Linked DNA regions of Neurospora crassa OR74A. The protein of the gene in region 2 interacts with the protein of the main gene of each other region in a pairwise test. Links are inferred from orthologs where the notes say so. Each region holds a gene or a part of one and is shown on either strand. Other genes may lie near its edges.

Evidence for each region.
Region 1: the proteins of NCU06748 (region 2) and NCU02162 interact in binary tests that used the Saccharomyces cerevisiae proteins (3 or more experiments, as listed by UniProt). The link is inferred for Neurospora crassa OR74A from reciprocal best matches to the Saccharomyces cerevisiae genes COA1 and SHY1.
Region 3: the proteins of NCU06748 (region 2) and NCU00395 interact in binary tests that used the Saccharomyces cerevisiae proteins (3 or more experiments, as listed by UniProt). The link is inferred for Neurospora crassa OR74A from reciprocal best matches to the Saccharomyces cerevisiae genes COA1 and MSS51.

The regions. Positions count from the first base shown.
Region 1 is NC_026501.1:1,040,535-1,045,886, reverse strand, and holds the start of NCU02162 (SURF-family protein), read right to left. Parts: upstream 3,641-5,352; 5' UTR 3,212-3,640; coding exon 2,914-3,211; intron 2,809-2,913; coding exon 2,290-2,808; exon of another isoform or gene 2,173-2,289; coding exon 2,067-2,172; exon of another isoform or gene 1,978-2,066; coding exon 1,878-1,977; 3' UTR 1,814-1,877; coding exon of another isoform or gene 1,642-1,813; 3' UTR 1,517-1,641; coding exon of another isoform or gene 1-1,516. Other genes in the region: CEN-T, read left to right, coding at 1-1,516, 1,642-1,813; NCU02163 (hypothetical protein), read left to right, coding at 4,240-4,770. UniProt on the Saccharomyces cerevisiae protein: Required for efficient assembly of cytochrome c oxidase in the mitochondrial inner membrane. Involved in a step that couples MSS51-COX14-dependent regulation of COX1 translation to early steps of cytochrome c oxidase assembly.
Region 2 is NC_026502.1:2,066,747-2,072,267, forward strand, and holds NCU06748 (hypothetical protein), read right to left. Parts: upstream 3,556-5,521; 5' UTR 3,393-3,555; coding exon 3,230-3,392; intron 3,092-3,229; coding exon 2,610-3,091; 3' UTR 2,216-2,609; coding exon of another isoform or gene 1,061-2,215; 3' UTR 934-1,060; downstream 1-933. Other genes in the region: NCU06750 (coiled-coil domain-containing protein 25), read right to left, coding at 104-143, 291-363; NCU06749 (mitochondrial 54S ribosomal protein YmL9), read left to right, coding at 1,061-2,215; NCU06747 (hypothetical protein), read left to right, coding at 4,814-5,104, 5,168-5,521. UniProt on the Saccharomyces cerevisiae protein: Required for efficient assembly of cytochrome c oxidase in the mitochondrial inner membrane. Involved in a step coupling MSS51-dependent cotranslational insertion of COX1 to the addition of its heme A and copper B cofactors.
Region 3 is NC_026503.1:3,705,288-3,710,342, forward strand, and holds NCU00395 (mRNA processing protein), read right to left. Parts: upstream 2,989-5,055; 5' UTR 2,856-2,988; coding exon 1,312-2,855; intron 1,241-1,311; coding exon 1,201-1,240; 3' UTR 1,001-1,200; downstream 1-1,000. Other genes in the region: NCU16682 (PXA domain-containing protein), read right to left, coding at 1-101; NCU00396 (pre-mRNA-splicing factor rse-1), read left to right, coding at 3,493-3,736, 3,927-5,055. UniProt on the Saccharomyces cerevisiae protein: Has a dual role in the assembly of cytochrome oxidase subunit 1 (COX1). It has a regulative function on COX1 synthesis, acting as a translational activator specific for the COX1 mRNA, and it also binds to newly synthesized COX1 protein.

The DNA.
Region 1 (5,352 bases), on a different chromosome or scaffold from region 2:
CACGAGCCTACACCCCCGGCCCCAACGCCCGCGCATACACCCCCGGCGCCCGCACCCCCCGCGGCCTCCTCCTTTCCGCACACAACACTCCCAACCCCAACGCAACCCCGCACGTCCGCGCCGCCTACCGCGCCATCGACTCCCGACGCGCCGCCATCCTCACGCCTCACCACGCGCGCCGGCGCTCGTTGCGCGAAGCCCGCGAGACCCCGCGTAATTTCCTGCTGCAGTTAGGCAAAGTCTTGGCGCCCAAGAGTGAGAGGATCCCGAGTAGTAGTTCGAGTCCTGCTTCGGCGCTTTCTGGATCTGCTGCTGCTGCTGCTGCTGGGGGAAGACAAGAGCAAGAGGAGGGGGACACGTCGGAGGAGTTGACCTTTGACATATCCACGCGGAGTAGGTATGGAGATGAGGACGACGAGGAGGAGGAGTTGCCTAAGAGGCCGAGACTCAGCTTGGGCTTAGGGGTGGGGGATGGGGAGGGCGATGATTGGGAAGATGATGATGAACTGCCGCAACCACATCGGAGTGCAGGACTCGAAGATCTGACGGAGAACTTTACGGTGCAGAGTATCGAGTTGCCGAGACGGGTGGATCCGGAGAAGGATCAACAAAGGATGAGGGATTCGATGGGGCGGTTGAGTGATTTCCCGCAGCTACAGCAACAACAACAACAGAGTGATGGGATCGATTCGGGGTTCTTTCCGCCTGCTGCAATTGATGAGGACGACTTTGGAAATGCCGAGGATAGGATACCGGATGAGTTTAGCAGGCTGGACTCGGACGAGACGAGGAGACGGGAGACGATAGGTGGGGAAGGAGGGATGGGGCTGCTGCTGGGAGCTGGAGGGAGGGATAGTGATTTCCACATTGAGGTGCCGGTGGGGATGGACGAGAGCACGTTTATGATTGCTTCGCCTACGAGGCAGTTTGAGATGGGTCAAGCTGCTGAAGCGGCGGCAACAAGCGGCCAAGGTGGAGGTTTCGCGGAGTTGATGGACCAGAGGAGCGACAGTTACGACAACAATGACGATGACGGAAATGATGTTGGACCAGCATACGACGATTATGATAACGACGACGGTATGGCCATGGATCTGGATAACAACCAAGACGACCAGGGCCAGGCAGGCTCGGATGAGGAGATGACGAGATTATCAGGCTACACACCAACGGCGGCGAGGGTATCACTTTCAGCTTCGGCGGCGCGGGAGAAACTCGGATTGTTTCGGGAAGAGGGTGGTGAACGAGGGGGCTTCTCCAAGATCAAAGCCACCAAAAAGATCTCCAAACACGGCATCGAGTACACATCATTACCTCCGGCCATGATCAAGCGGCTGGCGCAAACATTCGCCAAGACGAGCGGCGCGAAGGGAAACATCTCGCCTGAGGCGCTCAAGGCAATCATGCAGGCTTCGGACTGGTTCTTTGAGCAGTTGGGAGATGACTTGTCGGCGTACGCAAAGCACGCCCATCGCAAAACTATCGATATGAGTGATATGCTTACATTGATGAAGAGGTATGTTTTGGCGCTTTTGCTTTGATCCCTGGGTATCCGATTGTTTATATCCTGTGTAGTGTTCTTTGTACACTTTTTTCGAGCTATTGTACACGACGGACTGACTTACATTTTTGTTTCCATAGACAACGTCAAACCAACGCACAAACCACGCCGTTTGCCTTGGCGCAACGATACCTTCCCAGAGAGCTCCTCCAGGAACTGAGGATGACGCCGCCTGTTCCGGTCAAGAAGCGCCGAAAGGCTGCCTCTTCTAGCCGTGCTGGGGTTGGCGGCGAAGACGAAGAGGTGACGTGAGAGTGTTTGTTACCATTGATGTGTGACAAAGCAAAGCTATCACTGCCCACTCACAAACTCATGTTTACCAGCTCTTGTTCATGCGAACGCGCTTGGTAATCTGGTTCGCAGGCTTCTTGACCACGAGCCAGAACATGATGGAGGTGGCAGCAGCGAGACCGTACCTAAGTACCAGTTAGTCGGGCACTGATATGCGATACCGCAGGGGTACGTCAAGAATTGGAAGGAGGTGAAGCATCGCTTAAGAACATACCAAGTAAAGATGTACTGCGCATGGTTGTTGCGAAGGTTGACCTCGGCGACTCTACCGATAGGGATACCACGCGCCTCGTAGTCATAGACGGTGATAATATCGGGAACTGCGCACAAACATACGTTAGTACCATACCTAGCTAGAATAGCCATCATACCATTATAGGACGCAGGCCAGGCCAGCCACGTCCAAAACTGGCAGAGAAGAAAACAGAGATACCCACCAATAGTCTGCTCAATCCACACCGGCTGACTGCCCGTCAACTCGGCCATCTGCTTCACATCCGGGAAATAAAACTCGCCAATATCCGGCCTGTTGTCCGGCGTGAACATATTCTTCTTCCACGGCTCTCTCAGCATGCCCTCCACACGGACCTTTTCGCCCTGCTTGACGGAATCCGGCCTGCTCCTCTGGTCCGCAAACTTCTTACTCACCCACCCTCTGTTGACCAACACCTTGGAGCTCGGATCATCTCCCCTCTCCAGGGGCGTAACAACCATGTACCCTTGTTCGCCGTCGCGCATGCGCGGGCCGATCAGCATCTCTTGGTCGTGTCGGTAGACGCCCTCGGCGTAGACGCGGCGGTAGTCGAAGTCGGCGATGGCGGCCGGGTCCACGCGGGGGGGAAGGGGGAGAGGGTCCCGGATGATGCGGTCCTCGCATTTGGCGATCAGGTCCGTCTTCCATTTTAGTCGGTAGACTTGCCAGGTTCCGAGAAAGAGGGCAGTGATGGGGATGATGGCTGTGGGGAGGAGGAGGAGGAGGAGGAGGTAAATGCGTTAGTCAGTGTTACGGCTGCATAGCGCATGCTGAGATTGTAGATGGTTGGGACTCAATCAGGACATACCCAGGATAATCAACCCCTTGCCATGTCTCCTGCCGGTCCGCACAAGCTCGGGAGGGTTATCGAGGATGGAAGTAAAGTTGGGATCATCGCCGGGTTGTTGAGTCTGTCGGCGTGTGGACGAGGTGGTGAATTGGCGGCGGGGACTAGAGGCAGGGTTTCTGCCGAGTCTAGCTGTCGTGAATCGCGTCGCAGCTGCTGCGTGGGCTGCTGCTGTTTGTCTTTGGAGGATTATCCTCTTTCCCAAGCTCTGTTGCGACGTGCGCAGGAGGCACTGGAATATGCTCCCGCTGGCCGCCATTGTCCGTTCGTTCGTTTCGTCGGTCGGTTGATCGATCGGCCGAAGAGGTAGATAGGTACTGTAGGTAGTTATGTGGTGGTGACTGAGAGAACGAATCGGAGGCTGCTGCTAACAACGACAACAACAACAACGAGCAACCATAAACAGCGGCATGTGACGAAAATGGAGCTGGGGAAAGATGCGGACAAACTTCGTCATTTGCCGGACACAGGAAAGTTCTCGGTGGAGCTGCTGTTTTGCTCCGATCAAAGTCCAATTCTGGGCGATGCCCCGCTGCCGCTGGTGGTGGTGGGTGTGGGTGTGGGGCGTTTCCATCCGAATGGCCGGGGCCGCTGGGTGCAGTTCCTGAGCGCCGCCCCACCAATGCTTGGCACCAGGGGTCGTGTAAGTGATGGATGGTTGCTAAGGGACCGTGGGGGTCATTTTGAAGACGGACGACAAACACCTTGATGGTCCATAGATGTGAGATTCACCAGGCTGTGTGTTACTTGGGACTGTCGGTGGTGTACAACTCTAGTCTTCAGATTCGTTTGCTGATTTGAATGTAAAGTGGAAGCCTTGCTTCTGGGGCTGTGCTGATGATTAGCCACCCCTCCTGATTTCGCAGTGAAGCACCTGAATGCAGCTTCAAAACAAGGTAAGGCAGGCCAGGTCCGGAAGATAAAAAAAAAAAGAAATAATAATAAATACTTCCAGGTGCTTCTTCACGGGCATAGAGCAGGCCCCGTTTTGGGGCTTCATACCTAAGAGGTAACCCGCTCGTGTGTATCAAAGCAAGACTTCTTACTGCTTTCTCAAACCACTTGAAAACTAAGGAAACCACTTCAGGCTCGAAAGAAAGTGCACTTTCCATCTTCTGCTTCCCGCTCGCTACCTAGGTAATCACAAACCTAACCCAACATCGATCCGCCCAACCTCTAGTAGCCTGCCCTCCTTCGTTTTACTTGACATCAACAACACTATCAAATACTCGGTACTATATACCACATCCATAAGTACAGAGCTGCTCGACTCAAGAAACGCCCAAGATGTCTTCTCCAGGGGCTGGCAGCCTCAGCACCCTGTCGAGCTACGCCTCCTCCGCACCCGATCATCAAGGGCAACACGCCATCGGCCTTCCACTTCCCGCTACGGCTCAACCTACCACAGCCAGAACTACTACTACACTGCCGCCAGTGTCTCCATCATCTACTGCCAACGCAACCAACTTCCTCACCAACAACTCCTCAACCCCCTCCAACAATATCAACAACAACAACAACAACAACAACAACACCCCCAACCTCCTCAATCCAACACGCACAGCCACAATCAACTTCAACCTTCTCCCCGAGCTCGAAACCGGGCTCGACATCGACAGGCTCAACTACCTCTGCCAAAAGCAACAGTTCATAACCACCACCTCTACCGACAAACAGCCAGAAGAGGAAGAAGAGCCAGAAGAACTTGGTTGGAAGGATGCATACGAAGTCATGATCAAAGTTCCCCTCCAGGGTCTTGCGGCGTGGGCGAGAAGGTGGAGAAGGGCTAGAACTGAGAGGGGGCAGGGGATGGTGTAAGGAAGGGGACAGACAGAAACTCGCATGGCTTCGTCGACTGGAGAAGAAGTTGGCGTGTAATTAGGTAACTACTTAACCAACAGACCAACGGATTTGGCATTGCGCGACGAACAGAATATGGGGTTTCAGTTTCATCATTGGGAAGAACGAGGAGTGGACAAGGCAGAGAATTGGATTACGGGCAACCGCATTAGCACTTTTTGTTGTTGTTTTTTTCCGCCGCCCTGGCAAGGGTAGAGAGACAGGCTCAGCGAAAGATGATGATCTTACCTTACTAGCAGCACAATAACATCATGACAATAGTATCACCCATCAACCCAAGCGAGCTAGCAGTGGTCAGACATATATGTCTGCTAACAGTTTCTGTGTAAAACAAGTTGAAATGGTATTTGCCCAAGGAGCGTACCTAGTCAGTTATTTGCTTAATGTGCGTGACAATCTGGTGTAGCTTGACCATCCATCTCAGCCTTCCGCTGCCACAAATCGTATGGTATCTCACGTATGGTATCATCCTTTCTCCCTTCCTGACTTCCTTCCTGATTTCCTTCCTGACTTCCTCTCATCCTGTTGTTTCGGAACGGC
Region 2 (5,521 bases):
AATGAGAAACAGAGCATAATATGACGAGAACCTCATGGGGAGTCATACCCTACGAAGAATAGTTAGAAAATGCCGAACTAGGCTTGGCCGGGGTGAAACTTACCATACATCCTCCTCCCAGCCGTGTTGGATCAACTCCTCGTCTATAAAATAGCATGTTAGATGAGTGACGAGCTGACATCTATATCCAAGTCAAATATGCAATGTCCATGAGTGTGTCAAGATATATGCATATTCCACAAGGAGATGCAGAATACCACCAATTGTGGCTGATGATCATCTTCACGTACTCTCAAACTTGTCTTTCCCCACATAAATGAAAGCCGGGGGACTGACGACGGTCGAAGTGAAATAGAAGACCATGGTTGCTGATGCCTTTGGAAGAAATGAAAGATGGGAATATTGGGTATCTCAAAACGGCGACAATGAAAAAGACACTTCGTGCAAGAAGGGAAACCAAGATGCAAAAACGCGATTTCTTCTCTGGGGCTGTGTGGTGGTGGTTCGAGTGAAGATGTTTTAGCGGTTGAGTTTGGGGGATCCAATGCGGTAAAATGCGCCCGCACTCCAGCGGAAGTAAAACTACCTAAGTGAATAGAAAGAAGCAATTAACCCTAACCCTTCTTGTAGAGATGTCACACTCTGTACACCACAATCCGCCAAATACATAGTACCCGCCTGTGAATAGCCGCCCCTCCCCTGTCAATTGTGAATCCCCGGATGCCGAACCGATCGACGTTATCGGGGGGGGAGCATCCCGTTACTGAATTTCTGAGTGGCTATCAAATTTCTGCTGCTCCGTGCTTCGAGCCGGCGACCACCACTCCCGCACCCGCCCCAAAACCACCTCAACGGCCGCGCGCCGAAACGACCTCCCAACTCCGCCCCCTCCGGTTCGCGTCTCGAAGACAGCCGGTGTCCTTTCCATTCCCCCCACTCGACGCTCCGGGGCCCCGACATCGATACAACGAACACCGTCAGGTCCAATTGACTGCGACCAACCCCACCAAAAGCAACACAACACCACCCAACCCTCCCCTCAGACTTATACACATACACGATGGCGCCCCGGCTGCCCGCGCGCTGCTGGAGGCAGCTCTCCCTCGTCGAGAGGTCAGCCACCCACACCACAACCACCGCCGCCGCCAGCTCCCTCCTCCTCGCCGGCCGGACCACACCCACCTTCTCCGCCTCCTCGCCATCGACTGTCTTTCCCTCCCTCCTCCCTCAGATCACAAAGCGCGGCGTCAAGTACGGCTGGAGCACGCTCCCGAAGCGCAGCAGGCCCACACGATTCAACCAAGTGACGCAGGGTCTTCCGGCGCCCACCTCGGGCCCGGCCGCTGCCCTCAAGCGCCGCGAGAAGACTACACCCCTGCGCACCGGCGTGCTCGCTGTCAAGAAGGGCATGACCGTCTTCATGGGCCGCACCGGCGCCCGCATCCCCTGCACCGTTCTGCAGCTCGACCGGGTCCAAGTCGTCGCCAACAAGACGCGCGCCAAGAACGGCTACTGGGCCGTCCAGGTTGGCCTGGGCGAGCGCCGCGCCGAAAACGTGGGCGCCCCGCAGCTCGGCTACTACGAGGCCAAGGGCATCCCGCCCAAGCAGACGCTCGCCGAGTTCAAGGTGCGCAACCAGGACGGCTTGTTGCCGGTCGGCGTCCAGCTGTTTCCGGACTGGTTCCACGTCGGCCAGGTGGTGGACGTGCGCGGCATCACGCGCGGTATGGGTTTTGCCGGTGGTATGAAGCGTCACGGCTTCGCCGGTCAGGAGGCGTCGCACGGTAACTCGCTGAACCACCGTACCATTGGTTCCGTCGGTGGTTCGCAGGGCTCCGGTTCGCGTGTGTTGCCCGGCAAGAAGATGCCCGGTCGCATGGGCGCGCAGCAGCACACGGTCCAGAACCTGCCCATTCTGATGGTGGACAACGAGCTCGGCATCGTGGTGGTCAAGGGCGCGGTCGCTGGTCACAAGGGTGCGGTTGTCAAGGTTCAGGATGCTGTCAAGAAGGCTCCTCCCCCGGAGGAGTTTGTCGAGGCCACCAAGCAGCTCCTCAACGAGCGGTTCCCTGATGCGGAGGAGAAGTTGCAGGCGGCGAGGAAGTTGCACTTGGAGCTCAAGGAGGCGAGGAGACAGGGCCTGATAGATTCGCTCATCAAGAATGGGCTGACAGAGAAGGCGGATGGAAATGCTGCGGTAGAAGCTTCGGCTTAAGAGAGGGGGGCTGTCTCTGGTCTGTAGTATGTGTTTGTACTAGGTTTATGGAAGGGAATGTATGGTAAAGCCTTCCCGGTTTCTCATTTTTTTTAGTTCTCTCTTGTATGATACACACGCATCGTGGGGTGTTAAAATGTACAGCTACCGAAAATGTATAACAACTTGAACATACAACCCTTGCCCGTGATAGGTTCGTATGTTCTCTCCCTATATCTTACACATATTCCTCCTTGACAGCCTTCGGGTATTCAATCAGAGAGCCAGACCACGATCCTGTCCTTCAGCTCATCCTGTTTGAGAGGGGGAGAGGGGGACCACCACCTTCCCCGGTTCCCATATATATCCTCCCTTTTTTCAAAACTATTCCCTCCTTAAGAGCACCCCAAAACAATTACTTGGGCATCTGCCTGAAACCCCTGACCTTCGCATCCTCTGCATCATCATCCAGCTCAGGTTCCATCGCACGGCCGTTGATAGCTCTGAACGGATCGCCCTCCTCCAGCAGGTCAATGACCTTGCCGTCCTCCGTCTCCAGACTCCACTCGGTCGTCTCGAACATGCCTCGGGGCGTGGGCCGGAAGCTGGCGAAGCGCATCACGCCCGTGCGCTTGGTGCCCTTGACATTGAACTTGATGTCGATGCGGCCGTGCAGCTGGTTCATCTCGCCCGAGATCCACGGAATCTGCGCCTTGAAGTAGATCTCGTCACCCAGGTACTCGCGCGCGCGCTGGTTCGTGCGCAGCGCATAGAGGGTTGACTCGACCACGGGGGAAGAGAGTTTCTGGTAGTTGAAGATTGCGATCGAGGTGGCGGCTACGATGCCCAAGAAGATGGGGAAGGTGCGGGACCAGCGGAAGCGGGAGGTTTGGACATCTGTTTTTGTGGTTGCAAAGGGAAGAGGGGTCAGTAACTTCCATGGTACTAAGGAACTCAATTGGGGTGCGGAAACAGCAGGAAATACAGAACACAGAGAAGAGAAGAAGAAGAAGAAGAGACACGGGGAGAACATACCAGGAAGTTCACGATCAGCTCGCCTCTCCATCAACGGACCATCGCCAGGCCTGGGTGCCGATGTGAGAGATCTCCTCTGGGGTTGAGCGCGGCCCTTGGCGCAAGGGGAAGGCCTCGCCAGCGCCCTCTTTAGCGCCATACGTTGTGTTATCCTAGAGAGCATTGTGTGTGTTTATGTGTGTGTGAATGATATGTGTACTTTCGTGTGAAGGTTATTTTTCAGACGAACGATGGGGAGGGACGGGACGGGAGGATGTGTTGACACAAGCTTCTGGAGTTCGTCCCGTACACTAAAGCTACCCGACCTACCTACCAAATGGAAGCTGCCCTGGCGACGATTCCTACGATAACTCGTTTATCGATAGGCAGTGGGGCGGCACTACGTCGACCACCCCACTACGATTTGATCAGTGCATAGCCTTTGGGCAATATTCTTGTAGCAGCAAGTACCCAGCTGTCGGGGTGGCTGGTGAGGGTTAGGAGTTGACGAGAGAATCTCGGGGTTGTGTTAAATGCTTCCTCCAAACAGCCCTTGTCGGCACCGCGATATTTGGGGGCTTTTTATGTTCTTTTTTTTTTCTCGATGAGACTATCCCGTTCTGTTCAGAAGTTGCAAATGCATCATTTCTTTGTCCTTCGTTGTCCCAGGTTCAAGAAGAAGAAGAAAACAGGATAAACTCCTGTTGAGTTGCCGGTTAGCTTGCCAATCCATGAACTGTGGTTCTGTTGCTGTATCGTTCAGCATTTCTCTGCTTATATGCCTAATGACGATGGCCGAGAGGCAAGTTTCCTATTTTGGCTCTTACCTTCAAAGCGTGGCGCTACTATTCCACCGGGCTGAGAAGTATGGTCTCTTCCTGTCCGCCTATGATGCAGTTGGCTTCAACGCCATATGCCGTGAGACACGGTCAATTTCTATCCTCCAGTGGGGACTGGACTCTTTTTACTCTCAAGGTTGCGACCGGCCTCGAATAACTCCCAACAAAGAATAGTATTCGTCGGTACAGGACGTCACAATATCCCATATCTGACAAGGCAAGCTCTGTTGTGTATAGCCACAAAACGGGTTACAACCTTGCGAAGCGAGCCGAGCCTCGTGCTGGATGCTTTGCTTCCACGGATCAGCGCGTGGCAGTTCCATGCTGCAGACTAGGCATCTCTCATATGGAAGGGTTCTCGTGGCGTTGGCTGGGCATACGCAGTGATATCCCTCCTTTGGAACAAAGAAGAGAAGTACGTACCCGGTCGAGCCAATCTCACTGCACATCATGAAGAGGCAGTGTCAGTTTTGTGTGCTTACGTGTGGACAAGCTGACAACCACCACATTTGGAAATGGGACCCAATCCGCGTCCCCAAAGACGGCTGAGAGAAGGCCTTTCGCCCAACGAGAGAAAAGACACACCGGCACGACCGCAGTCGGTCCGCTCTCATATAAGACGGCTGGCGCTGTTGTCAATATCTGGGGTAACTTGGACAGGCCCCAACCACATTGCACTTTGCCATATCAAGACCCCAACTGTTCTTGTCCTTCTTCACACTGTTAAGCTCTTCTATTCCCTCAGCCCTAGTGGGATTCGTTCACAATGGCTTCAAGCAGGCTCATGAAAGCCATCTATGTGGCTTTGTTTTTGCTTTACGTTGACGCAGCCATCTCATTATCCCTTGTCTCGTCAATGGTGGCATTTCTTCATGGACGCGGCGGCCAACCATTCGAGGTCCGACGACTTGGTTCGGTCTTCGACCTTCCCGGAGAACCTGCACATCTTTTGACGGACCACGGCCACACGACAAATGCAGCAGGAGGTACGGGCGTCGTCCTTGTAGGGTTCGGTGGCCTCCTAGCTTTGTGGTTGGAGCATAGGTCCAGGGCAAAGGTATGTGTTCATTCTCGTAGAATCATTGTGCAGTGTGCGTCTATGGTACTAACCTTGTGGCAGTACGGGAAAACATCGCCATTCTACTATCTCTGGGCCCTTATCACGATTCTCAGCTGGCTTCTTACTCTCACGGCTCTGATCTATACCTATGTCCTGACCAACAAGCATTCGGATCAGGGTATCGACCTCGCCTACGCAGAAGGCAGTGCTCCGAAGCCGTACCCACGGGACTCTTGGACCCCGGAGAACTGGTATACGCTGGTCAACAGTCTATCACTTGTCCACAGCGACGATCACGACATACTGAAGAAGAAATTGAGAACCATGCGCGGATGGCGCTACAACCTTATTCCCTTCATGATTCTTGGTTTCATTCTCATGGTCCTCGTCATCGTGGAGCTGTTGAGTTTCAGG
Region 3 (5,055 bases), on a different chromosome or scaffold from region 2:
GTGACAGGGACCGCAGGGGACGCAGAGGGCGCAGAGGGCGCAGAGGGCGCAGAGAAAGTGGGAGCAGCAGCAGCAGCAGCAGCAGTCGAGGCAGTTGTCATGACGGGCCAACTAGCGGTGTCCAAGCATTGTGCCCCGCGCGCACCCGCTCATATCATAGCGCCGTCCACTCTTTATGACAATTCAGAGCCTGGCAGCTCTTTGAAGCGCGAGAGGCGGAAGACAAGAGAAAATCGTCGAGGTGTGATTGTGCGTGTTGCGCGGTGCAGTGGTTGGTGAACAGGTGGTGCTGGGTGCATGTTGATAGGTAGCGAGTGGTCCGGTCTTGTGTTCCGTCCACGCCTGTCCCGCACCTGTGGTGGATGGCCGGCGACCCCAGCCAACAGCGGCAGTAGCCCAGGTGATAAGGAAGCACCCTGCCGCTTATCAGCCAATACCTGTCCGAAACGGGTAGGCGGTGAGGTTAGCCAAGACCAAGCATGGTCGTTGCCCGTAGCATGGAACCGATCACCCCTTGAAGTCGTCGAGCTTCCCCTGAATGAATGTCAACAAAGCACACACCTTTGACTTACGCAGCTAAGGCGGCACCGCATCCTCGACCGCTTTTAAATTCCTTTAACTCTAGTCAAGTCGGTGCGAGTCATCTTCCAGCATGTGGGTAGTTTTCGTTTCTTACCAAGGATACACACTGCTGCTGGCAGGTTAGGAATCTCCACGCCTGAAGTTTGTTATCGTTGCACTTCGCTTGACAAACGTTGACCGAAATTTACTGCGCGGTGCAAGGTGTTGCGTGAGACGGACAAAAAGTGCTTGAAAAAAAAAAACCGTCTGTCGTCGATGAGGCTCAAGCTGTCATCACCCTTGCCACAGCAGACTGCCGTGACACAAGGCACTTGCTGCATGCGGCCCGAGCCTGACCGTTGCAGATCAGTGCCTCCCTAGGCCCACAACTACGAGATTATCAGACTGTGCAGTCCAAAAGATTTTGAACACACACCTTGGATCCGACATCCGTAACATCCAGCCCGTACCGTTAGAAACGGAAAAGATACCACAAAGTCTTGAAGTGTAAAAAGCCGATATGGTCGTGACAATGCGTTTGTTCGATATTCCTATTATACAGTCTGGGCTCCTAACAGCCCGGTTGCCAACACCTACTACATCTTACAGGATGCAACGACCAGCATACGCATGGCTCATCTATACAGCAATGACGTTGTCTTTGACGGTAGCCTCGTACCTAAAACAAACTCTGTTAGCTCTCGAACCGTATCTAGTTGTGCGGGGGAAAAAAATCAAGAGAGCACCAACCTCTTTCCGCGGAAGGCCCACACACCCCAGTTACCGGCACTGACGTCCTGAGGGTCAAGATCATTCAGATCCCACCGGAGACTGCGGAAGATGTTCTCGCCAGGCTCCATGAGAATGTCGAATTCACCCTTGGCCTTCTTGTTGACCCACTCGACATCACGCTCCATGTCAGCCTGCGTGTAGCCCGTAGCAATGATAGGAGCTTTGGTCTCGAGAAGCATAGGCAGCGTTTCCTCCCATTCGTGGGAGCTTGCCGGGTGGCCCAAACCAGGGTGGAAGAGGACGAAGCAGTCGAAGTAAGGATCGTGAGGAGCGAAATAACCCGTCTTGTGGATAGTATGGTAATAATCCACAATGGTGCTGATCTTCATGGTAGGCCATACGCGATCCTCCACAACCGCACCGTAAGGATTCTCGGGAGTACGAGGCGGGAGGGGAAATTCGTCATCGCGGTTCATCATGCTCTCGGGTCCGATGAAAATCAGATGGAGTCTCGACAGGGGGAAGAGATGGGCCAACTGCACCCAAGCATCTCTAGGCAGCGACGACTCAGCGCGAGCACCGAGAATAAAGACACGCACGGGGGGCGCCTCAGGCCGAAGACCCTTGATAGACTCGTTGCCTCCAGTTTTGGGAGGATGCAGGGTATAGCGAAGTGCCGTCAAACTCTTTAAGCCCTCGACCGTGAGGCGATTCCGGATGTGGTACGGGCTCAACTCGTGAAGAACGCTGCCGATCGTGAGAGGATAGGTCAACAACCTAGTCGCCTGTCTCATGCACCGGTCATCGTTGACAGCTTCGAACTGACGGGTATACATGAACGTGTCCCAGTTGGTCATGTTGACCATGGCATCATCCATTTGCGGACCGGCGTAGTTGAACTCGTAGAAGTGGCGGCCTGAATGGAGGTCATGGTCATCTTCATTGATCTGCCGCAGAGTGTCGCATATCTCGAGATGTTTCTCATAGTCGTCCATCCAATGCTGCTCGCTGCAATATACCGGGATGCCACAGTCAGGGCACTCGAAATCGACGTGCTTCGGCGGCTGGGAGCCAGACTCGGTATCGACTTGGCGGTTGGTCTCGGAGAACTGCCCTGGGCGGTGGCTATGGTGGGGGCAGCTGGCGTGCTGTCTTATGAAGGCCGCGCGCTGGCGGATCTTGGGGATGGGCGAGTTGGTGAAGGAGTGGAAGAGGTTGTCCTGCTCGAGAATCGGCTTCGAGGGGATACCACTACCGGCCAGATCCTCGTTGGTGGCAAACGATGTCGAGCTGCTGGCCTTGGTTCTGGACTGGGCAGCAACGGAAGGAAGCTTGCTTGTGATCGAAGCCTGGATCGGACGCGAAATGGTTCTGGTGATGCCGCCGACTTGCGTCGAAGACGAGGAAGAGCTCTGTGCCCCTCGGATGGAGCTGACGGAGCGTTGCTGGGCTGACTGCAAAAACGCAGCACTTTGCCTGCTCTGTCTAGCTGTGAAAGTCGAGCATTGCGAGCAAAGCTTGGACAAGGCCGGACGCACGGCGCGGTCTGCTGGGAGGGCCATTGGGAGTTCAAGAGGTCGGATGATGTTCGATCGGGAATCTGGATCGCCGGGACTCGATGCGACTTTCCAATTGACTTTTTGGCAGCAGCTCCCAGCAATCCGGGGTCCTCTCCCACCGACCCGACTCGCTACCTACCTCTACTGTGCCTAAGTGCCTAGGCGGGTCCCGTCCATCGAATGACCCACTTTGTTCTTGCTTCACCAGCCACAATTGTGCCTAGGTAAGCTCCGTCTGACGTTACGTATGCGGGTCAGAGAGCTACGAGCAAGCCACAGTCGCGAGGCGGGAAGATGAGTGGGCGGCGTCTACGACCTACCGTGGACCGAGTCCGACGTACCGCTGCAACCTGAGTGACTGGACTGCACCAATTGGCCAGAAATACCATCGACGGCAACCGACTCCATCTACCTCGCCAGAGTGCCAGAACACTGGACCGTGTTTCATTTTTTTTTGCCGTGTTACAATCATCTACTCGATATTCAACTCTAGATTTTCGACAATCTGGCTGACTTTCGCGCATTGGTCTTCTCAACATAACGACGGCAGCATTGACAGAGCACAACCGAGTCCTACCCACTTGCAAAAACAACCTCGAGAAAGCAGAGCCGCGCCGGCTGTCTGCGCCCAGTTGCAGCCATGGCGACTACGTCGAACATGTTCCTGTATTCCTTGACCATCCAGCCACCCACCGCTGTCACGCAGGCTCTGCTTGGTCAGTTCTCGGGAACCAAGGAACAGCAGATTCTTACGGCGTCTGGATCGCGTCTAACCCTCCTTCAGCCTGATCCCCGTCAGGGCAAGGTCAACACCCTGTTGTCTCATGACATCTTCGGCATCGTACGCGCCATCGCGTCGTTCCGTCTGGCCGGCAGCCACAAGGGTGAGTAACCTCCCCGCCACCTCCTGTGTTGGGCAATATAGTGATTCTGGATCCGTTCCCCAGGTGCTTCTGGGTAGAGGGGCCACACGTATGGTCACGCACCATGCACCCAGGCCTACGAGTCTTCTGGGGACTTGAGAGACTCATTCAAATCGGTAGCGGGATTGTGCTAAAACCCTGTGCCACCCAGACTACATTATCCTCGCCACTGATTCGGGCCGCATTACGATTATCGAGTATCTCCCCAAGACGAACAAGTTTCAGCGCATCCACCTCGAGACTTTCGGCAAATCGGGCGTCCGCCGAGTCATCCCCGGCCAGTACTTAGCCGCAGATCCAAAGGGAAGAGCATGCCTCATTTCGGCACTCGAAAAGAACAAGCTGGTCTATGTTCTCAACCGAAACTCACAGGCCGAGCTTACCATCTCGTCACCACTGGAAGCCCACAAGCCAGGCGTGTTGGTGCTGTCTCTTGTTGCCCTTGACGTTGGTTACGCAAACCCCGTTTTCGCTGCGTTGGAACTGGACTACACGGACGCGGACCAAGATCCTACGGGCCAAGCACGAGAAGAAGTCGAGACACAGCTGGTATATTACGAGCTTGATCTGGGCCTGAACCACGTTGTACGCAAGTGGTCAGATACTGTCGATCGCACTTCTTCACTTCTCTTCCAAGTACCCGGCGGCAATGACGGTCCCAGCGGTGTCTTGGTGTGCGGCGAGGAAAATGTCACCTATCGGCACTCGAATCAAGAGGCTTTCCGCGTCCCCATCCCTAGACGCAGCGGTGCCACCGAAGATCCTCAGAGGAAGCGGGTTATCGTCTCTGGCGTTATGCACAAGCTCAAGGGAAGCGCGGGCGCCTTTTTCTTCCTTCTTCAGACGGACGATGGAGATCTCTTCAAAGTCACCATTGACATGATCGAAGATAGTGACGGCAACCCCACCGGAGAGGTCAAGCGCCTCAAGATCAAGTACTTCGACACGATACCAGTAGCCACTAGTCTTTGCATCCTGAAGAGCGGCTTCCTGTTCGCCGCTAGCGAGTTTGGAAACCATCACTTTTACCAATTTGAAAAGCTCGGAGACGATGACGAGGAGCTCGAGTTCAGCAGCGACGACTTCCCGACAGACCCTACCGCCTCATATAACCCGGTGTACTTCCACCCCAGGCCACTTGAAAATCTGGTCCTGGTTGAGAGCATTGATTCGATGAACCCTCAGGTCGACTGCAAGGTTGCGAATCTGACGGGAGAGGACGCGCCCCAGATCTACTCTGTCTGTGGAAATGGGGCGCGGAGTACTTTCCGCATGTTGAA